4 linked regions of the Saccharomyces cerevisiae S288C genome follow. The gene in region 1 interacts genetically with each later gene. Each region holds a gene or a part of one and is shown in the gene's direction. Other genes may lie near its edges. The genes, in order: PTK2, CYC2, DAL81 and HAP5.

Region 1 (5,890 bases):
TTCCACGGGTCCATTTTTATAATTACGAAATAATTGTGCATTGGTAACAAAGGGAGAAAGCGATATCCTAAACTAGTAGGTTACAGTTGATAATATAAAAAGTTGGAAAATAGCTTAGAAATGAAGAAGAGAATAACGGCTTCTATGCGGTTGTGACTTTTGACGCGTTAGGCGTGGTGCTAAAGATGGCGAAAAAATGTAACGTCTTCCCAAGAAGTACGCTTCTAAACTAAATATGATTCATAGTGGACAGAAAGATCACCATTTTGAATGATGGGTCGTGGCAAATTAATACTGATAGAAGGATTGGATAGGACTGGTAAAACCACGCAATGTAATATTCTTTACAAAAAATTGCAACCAAACTGTAAACTATTGAAGTTCCCCGAAAGGTCTACCCGAATCGGAGGACTCATAAACGAATATTTGACGGATGATAGTTTCCAATTATCAGATCAGGCAATTCACCTCTTGTTTTCGGCAAATAGATGGGAAATAGTTGACAAGATAAAGAAAGATTTACTAGAAGGCAAGAACATTGTCATGGACAGATATGTTTATTCTGGAGTGGCATATTCTGCCGCTAAGGGGACAAATGGAATGGATTTGGATTGGTGCTTGCAACCCGATGTAGGGTTGCTGAAACCGGATTTGACATTATTTTTAAGCACTCAAGATGTCGACAATAACGCCGAAAAATCTGGATTTGGTGACGAAAGATACGAAACTGTTAAGTTTCAAGAAAAAGTGAAGCAAACTTTTATGAAGCTATTGGATAAAGAGATAAGGAAAGGCGATGAGTCAATCACGATTGTAGACGTTACTAATAAGGGCATTCAGGAAGTTGAAGCGCTTATTTGGCAAATCGTTGAGCCTGTTTTGAGTACGCATATTGATCATGATAAATTTTCGTTCTTCTAGGAGGATCTGTACATATATCCTAGTCTAGTCTATCTAAAATACTTAGTCTTTCTAACAGCATATCCTTTGAAATTTCTTGTATTTCCCCTCCAATAAACATCTCGTCCATTATCATATAGACTTTGTAAAAGTTGAATACGATATCCAGTTCACAGACATTGCCGAAAAATGCATCTAGCACCTCCACAAACAGATGGATGTGGCACAAATATATGGGTTCATCGTCAAGTAAGTCCACACCCATGACAAAATACAGACCCGCATACCTCCTGTATATGAGTTTCGTCGAATCGGAAAACTCTACGAAGTTACTCTGATGCTTATGATCTCTGGAAGATATGAGTCTATAAATCTGCGCAATGGCATCCTGGCTACGCTGAGGATCCGAACTGTGTACATCGAACCATCTCACCAACCGCACCACACCCTGCTTATTAAAGCACAGTATAAACTGTACTGCCATTTTTTTTATCCCTTACAGCAAACAAGTCTCCGTTCTTCACAAAATAACAGCACCAAACGCTATCTCAAGGCAAACGTTCTTAATGTACCTACTGAATAAACCATTCCTCCCCGTTTGTATCAAAAGTATCCGAAACTGTTCTATGCGTGCAAAATGATATGTCTTGCAAAACTATTGGAAAGACCCTTCCACTACAGGTACAGTTTAGAAATGCCGGAGCTGCAAGTACTACGTGCCGGCAGCATGATAAACATACCCGCGTCCTATAGCCATTCAAGCCTACATATATGGTATATACAACATGAACGCTTTAGTACGGTCACCCCATCTACAAGCATAACCTCTTGGGCAAAGGCGCAAATAGTTGCCACGTGCGAGTGCGGTGCATGGGTGGCTGTCTTTTCGTCATTGGCACGACCCCTTGCAGGTGGGAGGTAGAACCAAATAATATCCGGTTGACGGTAAAAGCAGGTTTATATATAGTGTTAAAGAAAGGTATTGTCACATCCCGTCGCTACCCTTATCCAAACCACGATATCGCACGCACACCAGGAAAGTAAAGTTGTGTAAGCCGTAGCAGTTTTTTACAGGTTAACCGATTGAATAAGATAATGGCGGGAAACGGTAAGGACAAAGAGGTAGATAAAAGTCCCTCTGTTAGTACTTTGAAACTATTGGGAAAACGCCTGTTTAATTCCAGCAGTCACACGGATAACTCTTCGTTACTGCTTAGTGCCGAACAATTGGGCAATGGGAGAAGTTTAAGAAAAAGGCCAACGTCTCCGTCCATTAGTGGCAGTGGTAGCGGTGGTAATTCACCTTCGTCTTCTGCTGGGGCACGGCAGAGATCTGCTTCTTTACATAGAAGAAAAAACAATGCTTCTGTAGGATTTTCAAATGGGTCTGTGTCGTCACACAAGTCCTCTGTCGCATTGCAGGACTTAATTAAACATAATAATAACCCTTACTTGAACTCTCCCTCTGATATTCTGGGCACAGGTACTGGCATTGCCTCGACAAGAGATAGGGATAGAGCAGTTTTGGATAGAGAAAAGGAAAAAGAAAGGGCGAGAAACAAAGAAAGAAATACTCATCACGCGGGCTTACCGCAAAGGTCTAATAGCATGGCTAGTCACCATTTTCCCAACGAGAATATAGTTTATAATCCATACGGCATAAGCCCAAACCATGCTAGGCCAGATACTGCATTTGCAGACACTCTGAATACGAATAAGGAGAACGATTTGAGTTTTTACATGCATGATGGTAACAGCAAGATACGGATGTTGCCCCTTCCAATTGCTAATCCGAACGATTTTTTGCCCGAAGATATGAAACAATATAGTGTCCATTTAACGGATAATTTCGTATTTGATACGGACAATAAACCTATTGGTTCGGGTGGGTCTAGTGAAGTTAGAAAGGTTAAATCAAGTTACAGGCAAAAGGATGTTTACGCTCTAAAAAAACTGAATATGATATACCACGAGTCACCCGAGAAGTTTTACAAGAGATGCTCCAAAGAATTCATCATAGCTAAGCATTTAAGTCATAACGTTCACATCACGAATACTTTTTATCTTCTAAAAGTTCCCACGACCACATATACAACTCGTGGTTGGGGGTTTATTATGGAACTAGGTGTTAAGGACCTCTTCCAACTGATGGAAAGAACAGGCTGGAAGAACGTTCCCTTCAATGAAAAATATTGTCTTTTCAAACAAGTGGCCCAAGGTATTAAGTTTTGTCATGACAATGGTATTGCTCACCGTGATTTGAAGCCCGAAAATGTTTTAATTTCTAAAGAAGGTATATGCAAATTGACGGATTTCGGTATTTCTGATTGGTACCATGTGATACCTCATGACTACACTAGTCCAGTGAAAACATGCCAAGGTATGATTGGCTCTCCACCATACACTCCGCCAGAGGTAATGTACTTCGATGCCAAGAAGCACTACCCCGAAAAGTTCCAAAAACCCTATAATCCGTTGGCCATGGATTCCTATGCCCTCGGAATCATGCTGATTACCATGATTAACAATATCATCCCCTTCATCGATTCTTGTAACACTGATGCGAGATTCAGGGAATTTGAAGTGTCATATGACAACTTCATCAATCATCAAAACCCACATTTCAGGGACAAGGGCTGCCACAAGCCGGGTCCTGGTTCCGAATACTCTTTAGCAAGAAATTTCAAGAATACTGATGCCACGCGTATCGCATGGAGATTGGCTGACCCGAACCCTGCAACTAGATATACAATGGATGATTTATTTAATGATCCGTTTTTCCAACAAATTGAAACATGTGTCGAGCCAAATGATGATGACTTAGTAAGGGTTCCTGAATTAAGGAAAAGTACTTCTACCAATGATTTTAGTGAAAATTCATTAGATGCACCCCATGATCAAGAGGTCATTCACACGTCTAATCCATTCCTAAAAAAGGAAACGCTCACTTCTAAACCAAGATCGATGTTGGAAATTGCAGAATCTCCTTCCTTGAAACAAAAATCCAAGGTAAAAGATAGCGCAAAGACCAAAACACACGATGTTGGGGATGAAGGGGGGAATGAAAGCACCAAACCTAAGCAGCAAGATAAAAAGGAAAATTTGAAGAAAGATGAGGTCAAGAACGGCGACAAGGACAAAGTCATTGAAGAGGCTACCACGACTAATGTGGACAGCATATTGGAAAAACCAACACCAACCTCCACAAAAGTAGAGGACAACTTAAGCGAAGATGATTCCACAATGAAGGAATTAAAGTCGATGCTAAACTCCACCCCTACTACACCAACACATAATGGCCCCACTCCGCTCCCTGCAAAGGCTGGCACTCAATTAGATAAGCGTATGAGCGACCTATCACTCAAATCGGAAACACCGGCTTCTACAAAGAACTTTAGCGCACCGAATGTTTCGTCATCAAGCAATTCACTGAGAAGCCTCGGAAGTCCAAGCGTGTCATCCTCGAAAAAGAAGAAGGTAATTCACCACCACTTGGACATTACCAACAGCGTTACAAACATGTCATCCGTGAGCGCCTTTATCTCAAGATAGACGTTAGGACTTCTTTAATTCCCTCTTTTATGCTTTAGTATCGTCATATTCTTTCATACCCTTCCTTATAAGCTTTTTATATAAAATATCCCACCGGGAAAAGATAAAGAACGGAAGATAAATCAAACAATGAAATAAAGCACACACATATAAATCCACATATGTACTTATATATTTTACTTCAAACAATAAACAAACATTTTATTATTTATTTTTCCCGTACATCGATGTACGTGATCGGTTTTTCTCATTCCTCTCGGATCCTTCGGGACCACCATGTCTCACCCACCAAGGTCAAAAAAAAAATAAAATCGGACGAGAAAAGTATTGGGCAAACAACAATTATCCACGTGCTTATCACGTTTTTTTATTTAATGTAGAATGTAAACCATTATACCTTAAAGATAAACACTTTGTTAATTAATCATTTTAGTTGGCGGTCATTTTCATTTCTGCTACAAGTACCAACATCAAGTGCTTAAAATATAATACGGTTTTCTACACTTTTATTAACGATGAACTCTCTGGCAAATAATAATAAGCTTTCTACTGAGGATGAGGAAATCCATTCGGCAAGAAAAAGAGGCTATAACGAGGAGCAGAACTACAGCGAGGCCAGGAAAAAGCAAAGAGATCAAGGCTTGTTGTCACAAGAGAGCAATGACGGAAATATTGACTCTGCTCTGTTGAGCGAAGGGGCTACGCTAAAAGGGACTCAAAGTCAGTATGAAAGCGGACTGACGTCTAACAAAGATGAGAAAGGAAGTGATGACGAAGATGCGTCAGTGGCTGAGGCTGCTGTTGCCGCTACCGTCAATTATACAGACTTAATCCAGGGCCAGGAAGATAGTTCTGATGCCCACACATCTAATCAAACGAACGCGAATGGTGAGCACAAGGATTCCCTTAATGGGGAAAGAGCCATAACCCCATCAAATGAAGGAGTCAAGCCAAACACCTCCCTGGAGGGAATGACGTCTTCACCAATGGAATCTACACAGCAATCTAAAAACGACATGCTCATACCATTGGCAGAACACGATCGTGGGCCAGAACACCAACAGGATGATGAAGACAATGATGACGCTGACATTGATCTCAAAAAGGATATAAGCATGCAGCCGGGTCGTCGTGGAAGAAAACCTACTACTTTGGCCACAACAGACGAGTGGAAAAAGCAAAGAAAAGACTCCCATAAAGAAGTCGAAAGGCGTCGCCGCGAAAACATCAACACTGCAATCAACGTTTTAAGCGACCTCCTGCCCGTGAGAGAATCAAGTAAGGCAGCAATATTGGCGTGTGCCGCTGAATACATTCAAAAATTGAAAGAAACCGATGAAGCAAACATCGAAAAGTGGACGTTACAAAAATTGCTTAGCGAGCAAAACGCATCGCAATTAGCCAGTGCAAATGAGAAACTGCAGGAAGAACTGGGAAA
Region 2 (4,243 bases), on another chromosome or scaffold:
TTTTAATCATAGTTAATAGAATTTCAGTAAAGCTCTCGTTACTCCTAATCATAATCTTAACCGAGGCCTTTAGACTTAAATATGCCAGCGCTTCAACGGACATTTCAACTTTAGGAACCTCCTCGAGCTTAACCGCACTTTCATTGACATTTTCAATTTTTGGCATGATACGTCTTGAAATAGCGTTTATAAAGATTTCGGACAGTTGCTTCAAGTTTATACACGTTAATTTTGTGAAAGACCATGTCTTAACTAACACCAATGCAGAATATATTTGTACATCTTCCACGTTTAGTGATCTTTCCAATAGTTGAAGGTAATTTTCTGTAATATACGTTCTCATGGTCTCATCAATACACGCGGAAGATAATAACCGCAGCAGTTCTTTTGTAAACTGTAAATCCTGCTCTTCGAATACTCTCTTCTTAAAAAGCTTACTTAGTCCTTTGGTCAAAAATATTTCAGAACAAAGTGTTGTCAATGAAGGATATAATTCTGATAGGGTTTTGACTATGATGGACAATGGATCATTTCCAACGTCTATTTCTGCCTCCACAATTAAGCTACTCATGAAATCGACCACTGCTTTATCAAAGTCTTTTTGGAAGCTTGATTGTAATTCAGCAAAAATTATAAGCATCATCGATTTTACTTCATCTTCGCTTATGCGCAAAATAAGTTCCTTCACTAAAAATCGCACCTCCTTGAAATTGTACTTGAACTTATTCAATAGTTGTAGAATTATGCTCAGTAAATACGTGACGTGGGTGTCCTCGCCATAGTGTATCCTAATTTGCAGCTCATTTAACAATGCAATTGTTGCGTCTTTATTGGAAAAGCAACCAACGAAAACGTGGATGGATGATCTTGATAATATTTCAAATAAATTGAGTGCGAAGGGAATATCATTCTGTATAAGTTTAGATAAATGTACGCGGGACTCAGAATGGTCTTGGTAAGACCTGGTCAATATTTCTTCGATTTTCTGACGATCTTTAAGGGCTTCACTATTCGTTAAATCAGCCGGCATTTTCCCAGATTCAGATTTTTGCCTTAGCTGGAAAATTGTATTTATAGCATCATTGTATTTTTGGACATCAGGGGTGGATTTCAAAGTCTTGTCAAATGCAGCGCAGAGGCTATCAATAGTAGAGCTATCGATTGGATCATTCCCTTTCTCACACAGTGGCATCGTGATTCTAATTTTTTAGTAATCTTTTCATGTGAGTAGTTTAGATAAAACGTCTTCACTATTAAGTAGAAGATTCGTAATTGGATTTAAGCCTTCGTGCCTTATCGCGGCTGATAATCATCATGATCGACGATGAACTACTGCGCCAGAGTATAATCCCCTATAAAACAGGCCTGCTATCACTCCAAAGAGAATGCTTTTATAGAAGAATATAACGTAAATTACTACAATAATTGTGTTGAGATGTCGGAAGACGAATTTTTTGGTGGTGATAATGAAGCCGTTTGGAACGGTTCCAGATTCAGTGATTCACCTGAGTTCCAAACGTTGAAAGAAGAGGTTGCTGCAGAGTTATTTGAAATAAATGGGCAAATAAGCACGCTGCAGCAGTTTACCGCGACACTTAAGTCATTTATAGATCGGGGAGATGTTAGTGCGAAAGTTGTGGAAAGAATTAATAAGAGATCTGTGGCAAAGATAGAAGAAATAGGCGGGCTCATTAAAAAGGTCAATACATCAGTGAAAAAGATGGATGCGATTGAGGAAGCTAGCCTGGATAAGACTCAAATAATAGCGAGAGAGAAACTTGTGAGGGATGTCAGTTACTCTTTTCAAGAGTTTCAAGGTATTCAGCGGCAGTTTACCCAAGTAATGAAACAAGTTAATGAAAGAGCAAAAGAATCTCTTGAAGCAAGTGAGATGGCAAATGATGCTGCTTTATTAGATGAAGAACAAAGGCAGAATAGCTCAAAAAGTACTCGAATACCAGGCAGCCAAATAGTCATTGAGAGAGACCCGATAAATAACGAAGAGTTTGCTTATCAGCAAAATCTTATCGAGCAAAGAGACCAGGAAATCAGCAATATTGAAAGAGGTATAACGGAACTGAACGAAGTTTTTAAAGATTTGGGAAGTGTTGTTCAACAGCAGGGTGTGCTAGTTGACAATATTGAAGCAAATATTTATACAACGTCAGATAACACTCAATTGGCTTCAGACGAGCTAAGGAAGGCCATGCGGTACCAAAAACGTACGAGCAGATGGAGGGTGTATTTGTTGATTGTGCTTCTCGTAATGCTTCTTTTTATTTTTCTCATTATGAAATTGTAAACCAAACCAACACACGTCGTCAAATATCATATACATAATATATACACTTAAAACAGATTCGTGTTAATGAACTTGTTTTGCACTTTCACTGTACAATGCATGGGCTCTCTCATAATATTTCTACGCCGTCGCATCTTAACCAGCCGCAAAGAGAGAGTATATTCCATAATTCAGTTTTTCGCCTTTCCTTGCCCTTCTGAAATGTTGTTAATATCATCATACCCTAATGAAGAGTGAAAATTCACTTAACCCAAGTGAAAAATACAACTTCGAAGAGTGCAACGTGTTGAAAGAACCCTTCAAAAATAGAAAAGAGGAAACGAAAAAAAGAAAAAGTAGCATGCTGTGGAAAAATTATGTTCTATCCAGTTCCCGAATAACACGTAGGCTTCATAAGTCACCTAGAAAGAGCAGCTTCTCTAAGAACTTTTTTATCACAGGCTGCCTACTGACAGTTGGAGCAGTAAGCAGTTATTTAACCTACAGGTACACAAGTGAGAGGGAAAACAAACATGAGTTATCTCCATCTTATTTTGTCAAGTACAAGATTTCACACAAGCGAGATATTGATTCATCACATTTTTTATTGGAAGTAACTCCGTTGTTTAAGCAGAAAGTTAACATATGGTCATTGATGACTGCGGAAAATCTGTGGTCCGTCGAGATCAAACAACCGGAAGTCATGGTGGTCCGCAATTATACGCCTCTACCGCTTAAATTTAACCCAGCTTCAAAAGAGATTGAAATCTTAAAAGATGGTGACAATGCAGATGGAAAATTATCTTTCTATATTAAGAAGTATGAGAATGGAGAAGTTGCAAGATGGTTACACCATCTTCCCAAGGGACATATAATTGAAATAAGAGGCCCGTTTATCGATTATGAGTTTCCTCATTTGCCTAATGAGCTAAAAAGATCTCGCGATTGTTTATACATGGATAATCGCAATGAAAGGGGCAATAACGTTAGAGAAAATTCCCAATTTATTTACCAGCCTTATGACATAATGATGTTCACCGCTGGTACCGGAATAGTTACTGCGTTGCAACTACTTTTGACTGAATCACCATTTAGAGGTACTATAAAGTTATTTCATACGGATAAGAACATTAAACAACTGGGACCCTTGTATCCTATCCTTTTAAGACTTCAAGCTTCAAACAGGGTCCAGTTAAAAATTTTTGAAACAGACCGACAAACTAAACAAGACGTATTGAAAAGTATCCAGAAATCAATCACGAAGCCCTACCCATACAAAGGTCTGCTCCCCTTTTCCAACGTTAACAACAAGAATATTATGCCTGTGTTGGCATTGGTATGCGGCCCCGAAAGTTATATTAGTAGCATATCTGGAAGAAAATACGATCTTAATCAGGGACCAGTAGGAGGGTTACTTTCCAAAGAAGGCTGGAACTCCGATAATGTGTATAAACTTTCATAATTTAACGTTCGAGATTAAGAAGGCAATTACAATAATATTACATACTGTAGATAATGAATATAATGAAAAATATAAGAGTTTAAACTATACATTGTTAAAGCCAAACTAAGATATTATATTCATTTCCTTGGCATAACGTGTAGTAACTCTTTGAACCTGTCTGATATCACCGCATGCAATTAGTATCTTTTTTAGAAGGTTCCTCTTAAAATCTTTATCGGCAAATGCTGACCCGGTACCACTGATGGGGAGATCATCATATAACCATTGAAAAACATCGTTCAAACGGTCCATATACCCCAATTCACTCAGACGGATGCAATAAACCATCATTAGCTTCGAAAACTCTTCAGGCTCCTCCAATCTGATACTTATTAGGATTTTATTTTCCAGGTGAGACAAAGTTACGATCTCCTCCATATTTTCAAATCCCTCTTTCATTAATATTGTCCTAGCAAATCTCTGTAAATTCTTAATCCTACCCTTTCTATTAAGTTCGT
Region 3 (6,140 bases), on another chromosome or scaffold:
ACAGAAGACAGAATATCAGTTTACTACCTGTTGATACACTGTTTGCAACTGAAAAGATCATATCGATTCTTGGTGTATCTCCTAATATGACGAATCTTGTTTCTATAGAAAGAGAGCGATCAGACCTGGTGGATTTTAATTGTAAACTGCAATCAAACATCCTAGAACACCTACTATACGCGAAATGCCAAGGAGTGTACGTAACTTCTACCAATGAAAAAGCTCGTTTGCTTGCAGCTGTCTGCAATCCTGAATTCATTGACACCTTCTGGTGCGAATTGACTCCCATAAGAGTCTCATTAAAGGAAAACCCTTCCATTTCTGTACCTCGAGAATATCAGATGTACGATCCGGTGGTACGTGCCACTATAAAGGAGGTTGTCACCAAGCGATTACTGCGATCCGCCTTCGATAATGACATCGACCCGCTAATGTGTCTTCATTTGGATAAAGGCTGGAAACTTAAATTCCCCATACTATCCTCGACAACGGGCCTAAACTTCTCCCTGAAGGATTGTCTTTCCCTGGACACAGGAAAAGATGCATCTGATATGACAGAGGTGTTTCTCGCTACTATGGAGTCGAGTAAAGTTCTTCGTACGTATAGCAACCTCGTTGACATTGTGATGAAGGACAATGGTAGGTTGGACTCAGGCGTCCTAAAGCAATTCAACGACTACGTTAAGCAAGAAAAGCTCAATCTACAACATTTTCAGGCCGGTTCCTCAAAGTTTCTCAAAGGCGCAAAGATATAATCCTCTTATATAGCATGTAAATAGAAAGTACGTAAAAAAAAGCTACTATTGACTTTATTCTCCGTGAGGGCGGTTCTTTCTGTAGCTGTTGGTTTTTTCCAGATCTTATGTGACACACCTGCACAACAATGTCATTCTCTGTCAGCTGCAAGACTCCCAAGACCACGAAGCTGCTGGTATCTTCTATTTCAGAGAGCGCTGTTGCTCTTATTATTATTACCATACGTATACTTTTTTCCATTGGCAAAAGCGATTTCAAAAAAATAATCTCCAAGGAAATAAATGGTGCAGAAACAATATACTACAGAAATATACCGGAAAGTAAACCCCAAGGGAGTTAGCACAAGATGAATCTAAGATTTGAATTGCAGAAACTATTGAACGTTTGCTTTTTGTTTGCATCTGCTTACATGTTCTGGCAAGGCTTAGCCATTGCTACTAATAGCGCTTCTCCGATCGTGGTGGTGCTTTCAGGCTCCATGGAACCAGCTTTCCAAAGGGGTGATATCCTTTTCCTATGGAATAGAAATACTTTCAACCAAGTAGGTGATGTCGTGGTGTATGAGGTCGAAGGGAAACAAATCCCCATTGTGCATAGAGTTTTGAGGCAACATAACAATCACGCGGACAAGCAATTCCTCCTGACCAAAGGTGACAATAACGCCGGCAATGATATCTCACTATATGCTAATAAGAAAATTTACTTGAACAAGTCAAAGGAGATTGTAGGGACCGTCAAGGGCTACTTTCCACAACTAGGGTACATTACGATTTGGATTAGCGAGAACAAATATGCCAAGTTTGCATTGTTAGGTATGTTGGGGTTGAGTGCTCTGCTGGGGGGCGAGTAGTTCGCCAAGTTTTTTTGGAACGATGTTTACGTACTTTGTATTTGTGCTTATGGTCTTTAACTTGTTTAATTATATAACCATAACCATTCGGTCCACGCTGAAAACAAAATATTGTCTTAGGACACGCTTTGAGAATTATTGAAAAAGGAGCTCCCACAGTGATGTAGGCAATTCAACAGAGATGATTTGTGTCATTTTTTATAAGGTGATACCGTCGCTCATTAACTCGATATCTTGAAAAGGCATATGTGTCGGTAATTGAGACCGCTAGGTTTAACTTCTCGAATAAAAAATGGTCTAAGCTGCATAAGCATATAGAATTGTACAATCAGTGTATAGGTAGAGCAGAAGCAGTCCAAGATTCGAGCTAATAATACTCATATAATATCCATCGCGATGGGTATTATATGAAACATAACAATCGTACATGGTGATTGAAAATAATAGATGATAAGAATCATTTTCAAATAATAGTGTAGATCTTAAAAACTCTTGGCCTGTTTAGACGAGCGGCAGAACGACAGGCAGCCATACTATCAAATGGACCCTCACCAATCACCAGCTGATAATGCCGCATCGCCTACGAAGAGCGTGAAGGCAACCACTAAAAATTCGTCCACGAATAATAATGTCAATAGCAACAACAGCAATAATAACAGTAACCATGATATACTGAATTTTAATGATAACTATACTACCATTCTGCAACATTTGGCAAACGACCATCCTAATATACTGAGGGAGAAAGGAGGATCACAACAACAACAGCATCAGCAGCAGCAACAACAGCAACAACAGCAGCAACAACAGCAGCAACAACAGAGCCTGGATACCCTTTTGCACCATTATCAAAGTTTACTCTCCAAGAGTGATAATGCAATAGCCTTTGATGACAATGTTAGTAACAGCGCAGATCATAATGGCAGTAATAGCAACAATAATAACAACAATAATGACATATCTAGTCCCGGTAATCTGATGGGATCTTGCAATCAATGTAGATTAAAGAAAACAAAGTGCAACTATTTTCCCGACCTAGGCAACTGTCTCGAATGTGAAACGTCAAGAACTAAATGCACCTTCAGTATTGCTCCAAATTATTTGAAAAGAACGTCCTCTGGGGCAAACAATAACATGCCAACCTCTTCAAACTCCAAACGAATGAAAAATTTTGAAGACTATTCGAATCGCTTACCCAGTAGCATGCTCTATAGACATCAACAGCAGCAGCAACAGCAACAGCAGCAACAGCGTATACAATACCCCAGATCCTCTTTTTTCGTCGGTCCGGCCTCAGTTTTCGATTTGAACTTGACCAAGCATGTAAGACTAGATAATGTTGACCAAATACAGCTATCAAAAACTTTATCATTAAGAAAGGTGTCTCCTACCGCACAGTTTATTCTTCAGGACGATTTTGACACGACCCTTCATAGTAAGCAAGAATACGAAGTTGATTTGGTCGAAAATCTGGTACATCCGCACGGTCACCTTTTAGTAGAGATTTTCTTCAAATTGATTCATCCTTTTCTTCCAATTTTACACGAACGTGTATTTTTGGAAAAGTATTCTAGATCTTATAGAGAACTCACTGCGCCTTTACTGGCATCCATTTACTCACTGGCATTACAATATTGGGATTTTCATCCTGCACTTTTGGGGTTCCCTAAACCCGATGTAACTGCTCAACTAAACAATATCGCATTGGAAACATTTTATGCTCGAGTTGGAAGGCCAAAATTGAGCATTATACAAACAGGCCTTTTGATTTTGCAATGCCGTAGTGAATGTCATAACAACTGGGTCCTCTGCTCCAGCGTAGTGGCCCTTGCAGAGGAATTGGGGCTCGGGGTTGAATGTAATGATTGGAAACTTCCCAAATGGGAAAAAGATTTGAGAAAGAGATTAGCGTGGGCAGTTTGGTTGATGGATAAATGGTGTGCATTAAACGAAGGTAGACAATCCCATTTAATTTTAGGTAGGAACTGGATGATCAAGCTATTAAACTTTGATGATTTTCCTCTGAATTCGCCCACTATTTTAAATTCCTTGCAAAATGACCAGTCGGGGTCTTCACCCTCGTCATCAAATGATGTGAAAAACCATCAGATAGCATTTGGTAACTTGCCCATATTTAACATAAACCCCACTTTAGAAGATTTCAAGAATGGAACGCTTATGTTTCAACAAATGGTTTCCTTGAGTATAATTCTTGGGGAAATCATGGACACATTTTACACTCAGGGATCCATGACAATAAACAAAAGCATTGAACAGGTATTGAAACTGGCAAAGCCGTTGCAACTGAAATTAAGAGAATGGTACCATTCCCTACCCAAGAATTTGTCAATGAGTTATGCCACGCCACAAAAATTGAACTCAAATTCAACTTTAACTCTAGCTTATTTTGCCACGGAAATTACGTTACATAGGAAAATTATCTGTGCCTTGAATCCTCAAACTCCAAAGGAACTGGTTCAAGTATGCAGGACTGCTGCAAGAACCAGGCTTGTAGCAGCAATTGAATTTATAAGAGATCTAAAAAACGAACATATTAATGCTTTTTGGTATAACTGCTCAACTGGAAATCTGATGCTAATTGGAACATTTGCTGCCCTGCTGTATGTGACTTCAGCTACGAAGGAAGAGGCTATGATTTTCAGAGATTATGTTAGAAATTATACCTGGGTATTGAAGATAGGTTCCAAATACTTTGATAAACTATCGAATGCTTTGAATAATATGCATTTACTATTTGCACAAATTCCTGGTCTTCTGACCGATGAACCGGTGGTCGTGAGCCCTAACTCTAACATCAATTCCGTTAACCCACAAAGGTCAGGTGTACAATCGCAAATCCCAATACAATTTAACGTGGGATCACCTGCCATGACCGAGCAAGGATCTCCTTTAAACCAGTGGAAGAATTTGCCCCAGGAAATCTTGCAACAACTAAACTCCTTTCCCAACGGTACGACCAGTACAACAACGCCAGTAAACCCCACTTCCAGACAAACACAACTAGAATCGCAGGGAAGTCCAGCCATAAATAGTGCTAATAATAATAGCAACAACACGCCTTTACCATTTGCGCCAAATAAGTCTTCTAAAAAAACTTCACAATCTTCACCAAATGTTACGCCCTCTCATATGAGCAGACACCCCCCCTCTAATACATCTTCACCAAGAGTCAATTCCAGCACAAATGTCAACTCTAATACACAAATGAATGCTTCTCCCTTGACCTCAATTAACGAAACCAGACAAGAGTCAGGTGACGCTGCAGATGAAAAAACAGCAGGAAGAGAAAGAACCGCCAACGAGGAATCATCAACGGAACTCAAGGACGATAATCCAAACTCGAACCAGGAAACAAGCGCAACTGGTAACCAAACTATAAAAATGAATGATGATAAAAATGTAACAATTAACACAAGGGAAACCCCTCTGTAATATAAATAATAGCACATAAGTAAAAATGGAATACGGTAATAACTATATAGAAATATCTTCTGCAGGACCAAGGTTACTGAGTGGTGAATGTAAAATTATTTATTCGCTTGCGTTATATTTACATGTGGTATATCCGGATGCATAGAGCCTACTATAGAAATTTTGGGATTTTATCATGTTCTTTGGCGATTTCATTCAAATCACCTGGTTGGTTCATCATCATATGGACATCACCACTTAGGTAAACCTTTTCATCTTCTTTTTTCGACTTTTCTAAATCTTTTAGAACATTCAAATCAGTGACAATCCCTTCTTTGTTCTTAACGCCAGCATCTGGAGTTTTTTCGATTACTTCTTTTTTTGCCTCGTCTATTATACTTTGCCAGATCTCTTCCAATGACTCTTCCTTAGGAACCACAATATCAGTCTCATCTTCCTTCATCCCAGTTGCGTTCTTGCCGACGATTCCTAAACGCAAATTCACAAGTTTCAATTCATCATCTGCGTCGAAGTCTACCTTTCCATTATTATCATGAACCCTCCGTATCAGCTCTTTCAATTTATCAAGTTTTAGCTTATATTTCCTTTCCATATCAATAATGTTCCTTTTCTCGGCTATTACTGCGTTTAATATCGACCCAAATATCATTACCAAAAGTAAAGGTTTGATCATTGTTTTATCAAATCTTGACTTTCTCTTAATGCCCGCATTTGCTGATGCAACAGTTCTAGCGGTTATCTTTATGGGAGCAAGGCTCCTTAAAAATAGACCATTTCTTAACACTTGTCTTGCCATAAACATTTTTCCTTACACCTTTTACGTATGACTTGTCTTTCCTTGTTGTTACTTTTTCCCTGCTCATTATATCACATAAGATGTAAATTAGAGGATGCGTAAAATAGTTCAACTGTGCTACGCCACATCAGAATACCGACAACCATAAACAGCGGCGAAGAGAAGACAAAGCAATGGCAAGAGCGTTGAGGGATATATCATTATTCAATGATATAAGAAAGGATCAAAATTCGGCAGGAGCCAAGCATGAGAGATATAACATGAGAGATCTCCGAAGTAAGAAGA
Region 4 (3,676 bases), on another chromosome or scaffold:
GTCATGGTTCCTTAACAAAACAAGCCTTGGCAAAATATGATTTAAGAAAAGGCAGACAGCACCAAACTTATGGATTAGGTATTAAAGAAGTTTGGGAAGTCAAGCCGGAGAATTTTAACAAGGGATTTGCAGCTCATACCATGGGGTACCCGTTGACAAATGATGTTTATGGCGGTGGTTTCCAGTACCATTTTGGTGATGGGCTGGTCACTGTGGGCCTTGTCGTGGGGTTAGATTATAAGAATCCCTATGTTTCACCTTACAAAGAGTTTCAAAAGATGAAACATCATCCATACTATTCAAAAGTTTTAGAAGGAGGTAAGTGTATCGCTTATGCTGCAAGAGCATTGAATGAAGGTGGACTGCAATCTGTACCCAAGTTGAATTTCCCTGGTGGTGTTTTGGTAGGGGCTAGCGCGGGTTTCATGAACGTTCCAAAGATCAAGGGTACTCATACTGCGATGAAGAGTGGATTACTTGCCGCTGAAAGTATCTTTGAGTCCATAAAAGGGTTACCTGTCTTAGAAGAGGTTGAAGACGAAGACGCCAAAATGGCTATGTTTGATAAGGAGGCAACTATTAACTTGGAATCATATGAAAGTGCATTCAAAGAATCATCGATATATAAGGAACTATACGAAGTGCGTAATATTAGACCGTCCTTCAGCGGGAAACTTGGTGGATATGGTGGTATGATCTACTCTGGAATCGATTCTTTGATATTGAAGGGAAAAGTTCCGTGGACACTGAAATTTGATGAAAAAAATGACGGTGAAATTTTGGAACCTGCTTCCAAGTACAAACCGATAGAATACCCCAAGCCTGATGGTGTGATATCCTTTGATATATTGACCTCCGTGTCTAGAACCGGAACCTACCATGATGATGATGAACCATGTCACTTGAGGGTTCCTGGACAAGATATGGTAAAGTACGCCGAGAGAAGCTTTCCCGTTTGGAAAGGTGTTGAATCGAGGTTCTGCCCAGCAGGTGTCTACGAATTCGTCAAAGATGAAAAATCGCCTGTGGGTACGAGACTGCAAATCAATTCACAAAATTGTATCCATTGCAAGACCTGTGATATTAAGGCGCCCAGACAAGATATTACTTGGAAAGTACCCGAAGGTGGAGATGGACCAAAGTACACGCTAACTTAATCACAGGATTCATTATTTATTTAATTATTTTATTCATTATTTATTTAAATTTTTCTATTCATTCTTTTATATAATCTATATTATTTATTCACGTAAAAGAGTTCTTTTCAGCCGACAAACTTTTCAGCTTCAATGAACCTCACGAGAACTTTAGAACCAGATTGTAAAAGCGGGTGCCCGGCTACCGATTGCATCCAGGTATTCAAACCTTGTCTCCTCTCTTCAATGACTTCGTTACTAAATCTATTACTCAAGAGAATTTTACCCGGTAAATGAGGTACCATGACTTTTGGGTGATTAAGCATAGAAATTTCCTTGATCAAGCATTTGCGGAAGAATTCAAAGTCTGAGTATCGTCTCCTTACTTTCGATACCCTCTTGTGAAAACTTGGCAAGTTTGTACGGCATATTATTTCGTAATCTGTAAACATCCCCTTCGAATCCATCCCATTTGGTATATGAGTTTTAGGGTTGTGCACCTCAATCTCTAAAAAGTTCTCAGGCTCAGCGTATATTTCGCTGTAACTAGGCTCTCCATGTCCTTTTGACAGCAAAGACTTTTCTGTAGACCCAAAGGATTTGAATTCTCTTGGCATACTTTGTGTAGATGCGTACCGCTTCTCAGCTGTTCTTGCCGTCCTCTTTTATGCAGTATTAAGATCCGTTTTAATCCATTCATTCATTGCAGGTTTACATATCAATACATATCACTTAGTACGTGATAGTGCCCAAAGCTATCCTCGAGTTCACTTATGCAATTCTGAGCACCCCATAGCCAAGTCCTCATAGTAAATCATGGTCCCTCCTAGCGCAATACTTACTAGAGTGTAGAAATCCCGAAATGTCAAAATCGAAGAGTGTTGTGCTCCCTTTTCCGTAGTTAAACTTAAATTTGCGTGGGACGGCTCCCTTAAGATTGCTTCCGGAGATTAAGCTTCCTTAGCTGCTATAATACCGCGTAAGCAAAGAAGAAGAATAGAGGGGAATAGGAGATAATGTAAGAGTTGTGACGCATTTGCAGCATCAGGATTGTTTACTCGCATAATGACTGATAGGAATTTCTCACCACAACAAGGACAAGGACCTCAAGAATCGCTCCCGGAGGGACCGCAACCCAGTACGATGATTCAGAGAGAGGAAATGAATATGCCAAGGCAATATTCAGAACAGCAACAACTGCAAGAAAACGAAGGGGAAGGGGAAAATACGAGGCTACCTGTTTCTGAGGAAGAGTTCCGGATGGTACAGGAGTTGCAAGCTATCCAGGCGGGCCATGACCAAGCTAATCTACCGCCAAGTGGTCGAGGATCGCTTGAAGGCGAAGATAATGGAAACAGCGACGGCGCAGACGGAGAAATGGACGAGGACGATGAAGAGTATGATGTGTTTAGGAACGTTGGTCAGGGATTGGTGGGCCACTACAAGGAGATAATGATCCGTTATTGGCAAGAATTAATCAACGAGATCGAGTCTACGAATGAACCTGGTTCCGAGCATCAAGATGACTTCAAATCACATTCCTTACCATTTGCGAGAATCCGCAAGGTCATGAAGACGGATGAAGATGTCAAGATGATTAGTGCAGAGGCCCCCATCATTTTCGCCAAAGCCTGTGAGATCTTTATTACAGAACTGACTATGAGAGCTTGGTGCGTGGCAGAAAGGAATAAAAGACGAACTTTGCAGAAGGCAGATATCGCAGAGGCCCTGCAAAAGAGTGACATGTTTGACTTTCTCATCGATGTTGTGCCTAGAAGACCTCTTCCACAATGAGAGAGTTAATGGTTATACAGCTGCCATTTGACCGTGCACCACAGCAAATTATCTGTTGGAAAAAGAAAAAACGCAAATTTTTTTCATTATTTTTTTCCAGAATAAGTTTGGTAGCAAATTGGCGATGAGATATCTAACAACGACTACTACTACTACCATAGGATTGTCTCGAATACATTGTGTTTTGCAGTCACACTGGTACTTCGTCCCTTGGGCAATCTAGATCACTGTATATACTATAGATATTGTTTTCAGAAGAGAAAAACTGTTCATATAAAGTAATTGTCAGCAAAGAAATCATGAAACATCCGTATGAGGAATTCCCCACAGGTTCCAAGTCACCATATAACATGTCTAGAGGAGCTCATCCAGGCGCCGTTTTGCTATCACCACAATCTTCTGCCATAAACAAGAACAATCCGGGCAGCAATTCTGGCAATAACCAGGGCAATTCATCCGTGACCGCGAATGTTTTGTCCCCTCAATCCCATAGTATGTCACTCAATGACATGCTTGATCAGCAATCCTTTATGCTAGACACTGCGGGAACCAGGGCTCAGCCGCTCCAGCAACAACAGCAGCAGCAACAACAGCAACAGCAGGCGTCGTTGCCTTCCCTTAATATTCAAACAGTTTCGTCTACAGCAGCTGGTTCTGCTATCGTTTCCCCCATGATGCAATCTCCAAAGGCGTTGCAATCTACTTTATCTTCAACATCTATGTATTTGGATTCATTTCAGAGATCT

Evidence for each region.
Region 2: mutations in PTK2 (region 1) and CYC2 together harm fitness more than expected from each alone (negative genetic interaction), as found in Saccharomyces cerevisiae (3 studies listed by BioGRID).
Region 3: mutations in PTK2 (region 1) and DAL81 together harm fitness more than expected from each alone (negative genetic interaction), as found in Saccharomyces cerevisiae (2 studies listed by BioGRID).
Region 4: mutations in PTK2 (region 1) and HAP5 together harm fitness more than expected from each alone (negative genetic interaction), as found in Saccharomyces cerevisiae (3 studies listed by BioGRID).

What each region holds. Positions count from the first base shown.
Region 1 is NC_001142.9:543,792-549,681, forward strand, and holds PTK2 (protein kinase PTK2), read left to right. Parts: upstream 1-1,995; coding exon 1,996-4,452; downstream 4,453-5,890. Other genes in the region: CDC8 (bifunctional thymidylate/uridylate kinase), read left to right, coding at 271-921; APS2 (Aps2p), read right to left, coding at 941-1,384; CBF1 (Cbf1p), read left to right, coding at 4,968-5,890. UniProt on the Saccharomyces cerevisiae protein: Essential determinant for high-affinity spermidine transport. Required for the activation of the plasma membrane proton pump PMA1 via phosphorylation of 'Ser-899'.
Region 2 is NC_001147.6:398,913-403,155, forward strand, and holds CYC2 (oxidoreductase), read left to right. Parts: upstream 1-2,642; coding exon 2,643-3,743; downstream 3,744-4,243. Other genes in the region: SHE4 (She4p), read right to left, coding at 1-1,192; SNAP receptor PEP12, read left to right, coding at 1,436-2,302; HIR2 (Hir2p), read right to left, coding at 3,849-4,243. UniProt on the Saccharomyces cerevisiae protein: Redox component that participates in c-type cytochrome biogenesis in the mitochondrial intermembrane space. May play a role in the reduction of heme prior to its ligation to apocytochrome c by cytochrome c heme lyase. Has oxidoreductase activity in vitro.
Region 3 is NC_001141.2:397,631-403,770, forward strand, and holds DAL81 (Dal81p), read left to right. Parts: upstream 1-2,146; coding exon 2,147-5,059; downstream 5,060-6,140. Other genes in the region: MRS1 (Mrs1p), read left to right, coding at 1-755; YIR021W-A (uncharacterized protein), read left to right, coding at 884-1,096; signal peptidase complex catalytic subunit SEC11, read left to right, coding at 1,103-1,606; INA22 (Ina22p), read right to left, coding at 5,211-5,861; MND2 (Mnd2p), read left to right, coding at 6,029-6,140. UniProt on the Saccharomyces cerevisiae protein: Positive regulation of genes required for catabolism of GABA (UGA4, UGA1, and UGA2), urea (DUR1 and DUR2), arginine and allantoin.
Region 4 is NC_001147.6:1,007,960-1,011,635, forward strand, and holds HAP5 (Hap5p), read left to right. Parts: upstream 1-2,201; coding exon 2,202-2,930; downstream 2,931-3,676. Other genes in the region: CIR2 (electron-transferring-flavoprotein dehydrogenase), read left to right, coding at 1-1,157; SNX3 (Snx3p), read right to left, coding at 1,265-1,753; VTS1 (Vts1p), read left to right, coding at 3,230-3,676. UniProt on the Saccharomyces cerevisiae protein: Acts a component of the CCAT-binding factor, which is a transcriptional activator and binds to the upstream activation site (UAS2) of the CYC1 gene and other genes involved in mitochondrial electron transport and activates their expression.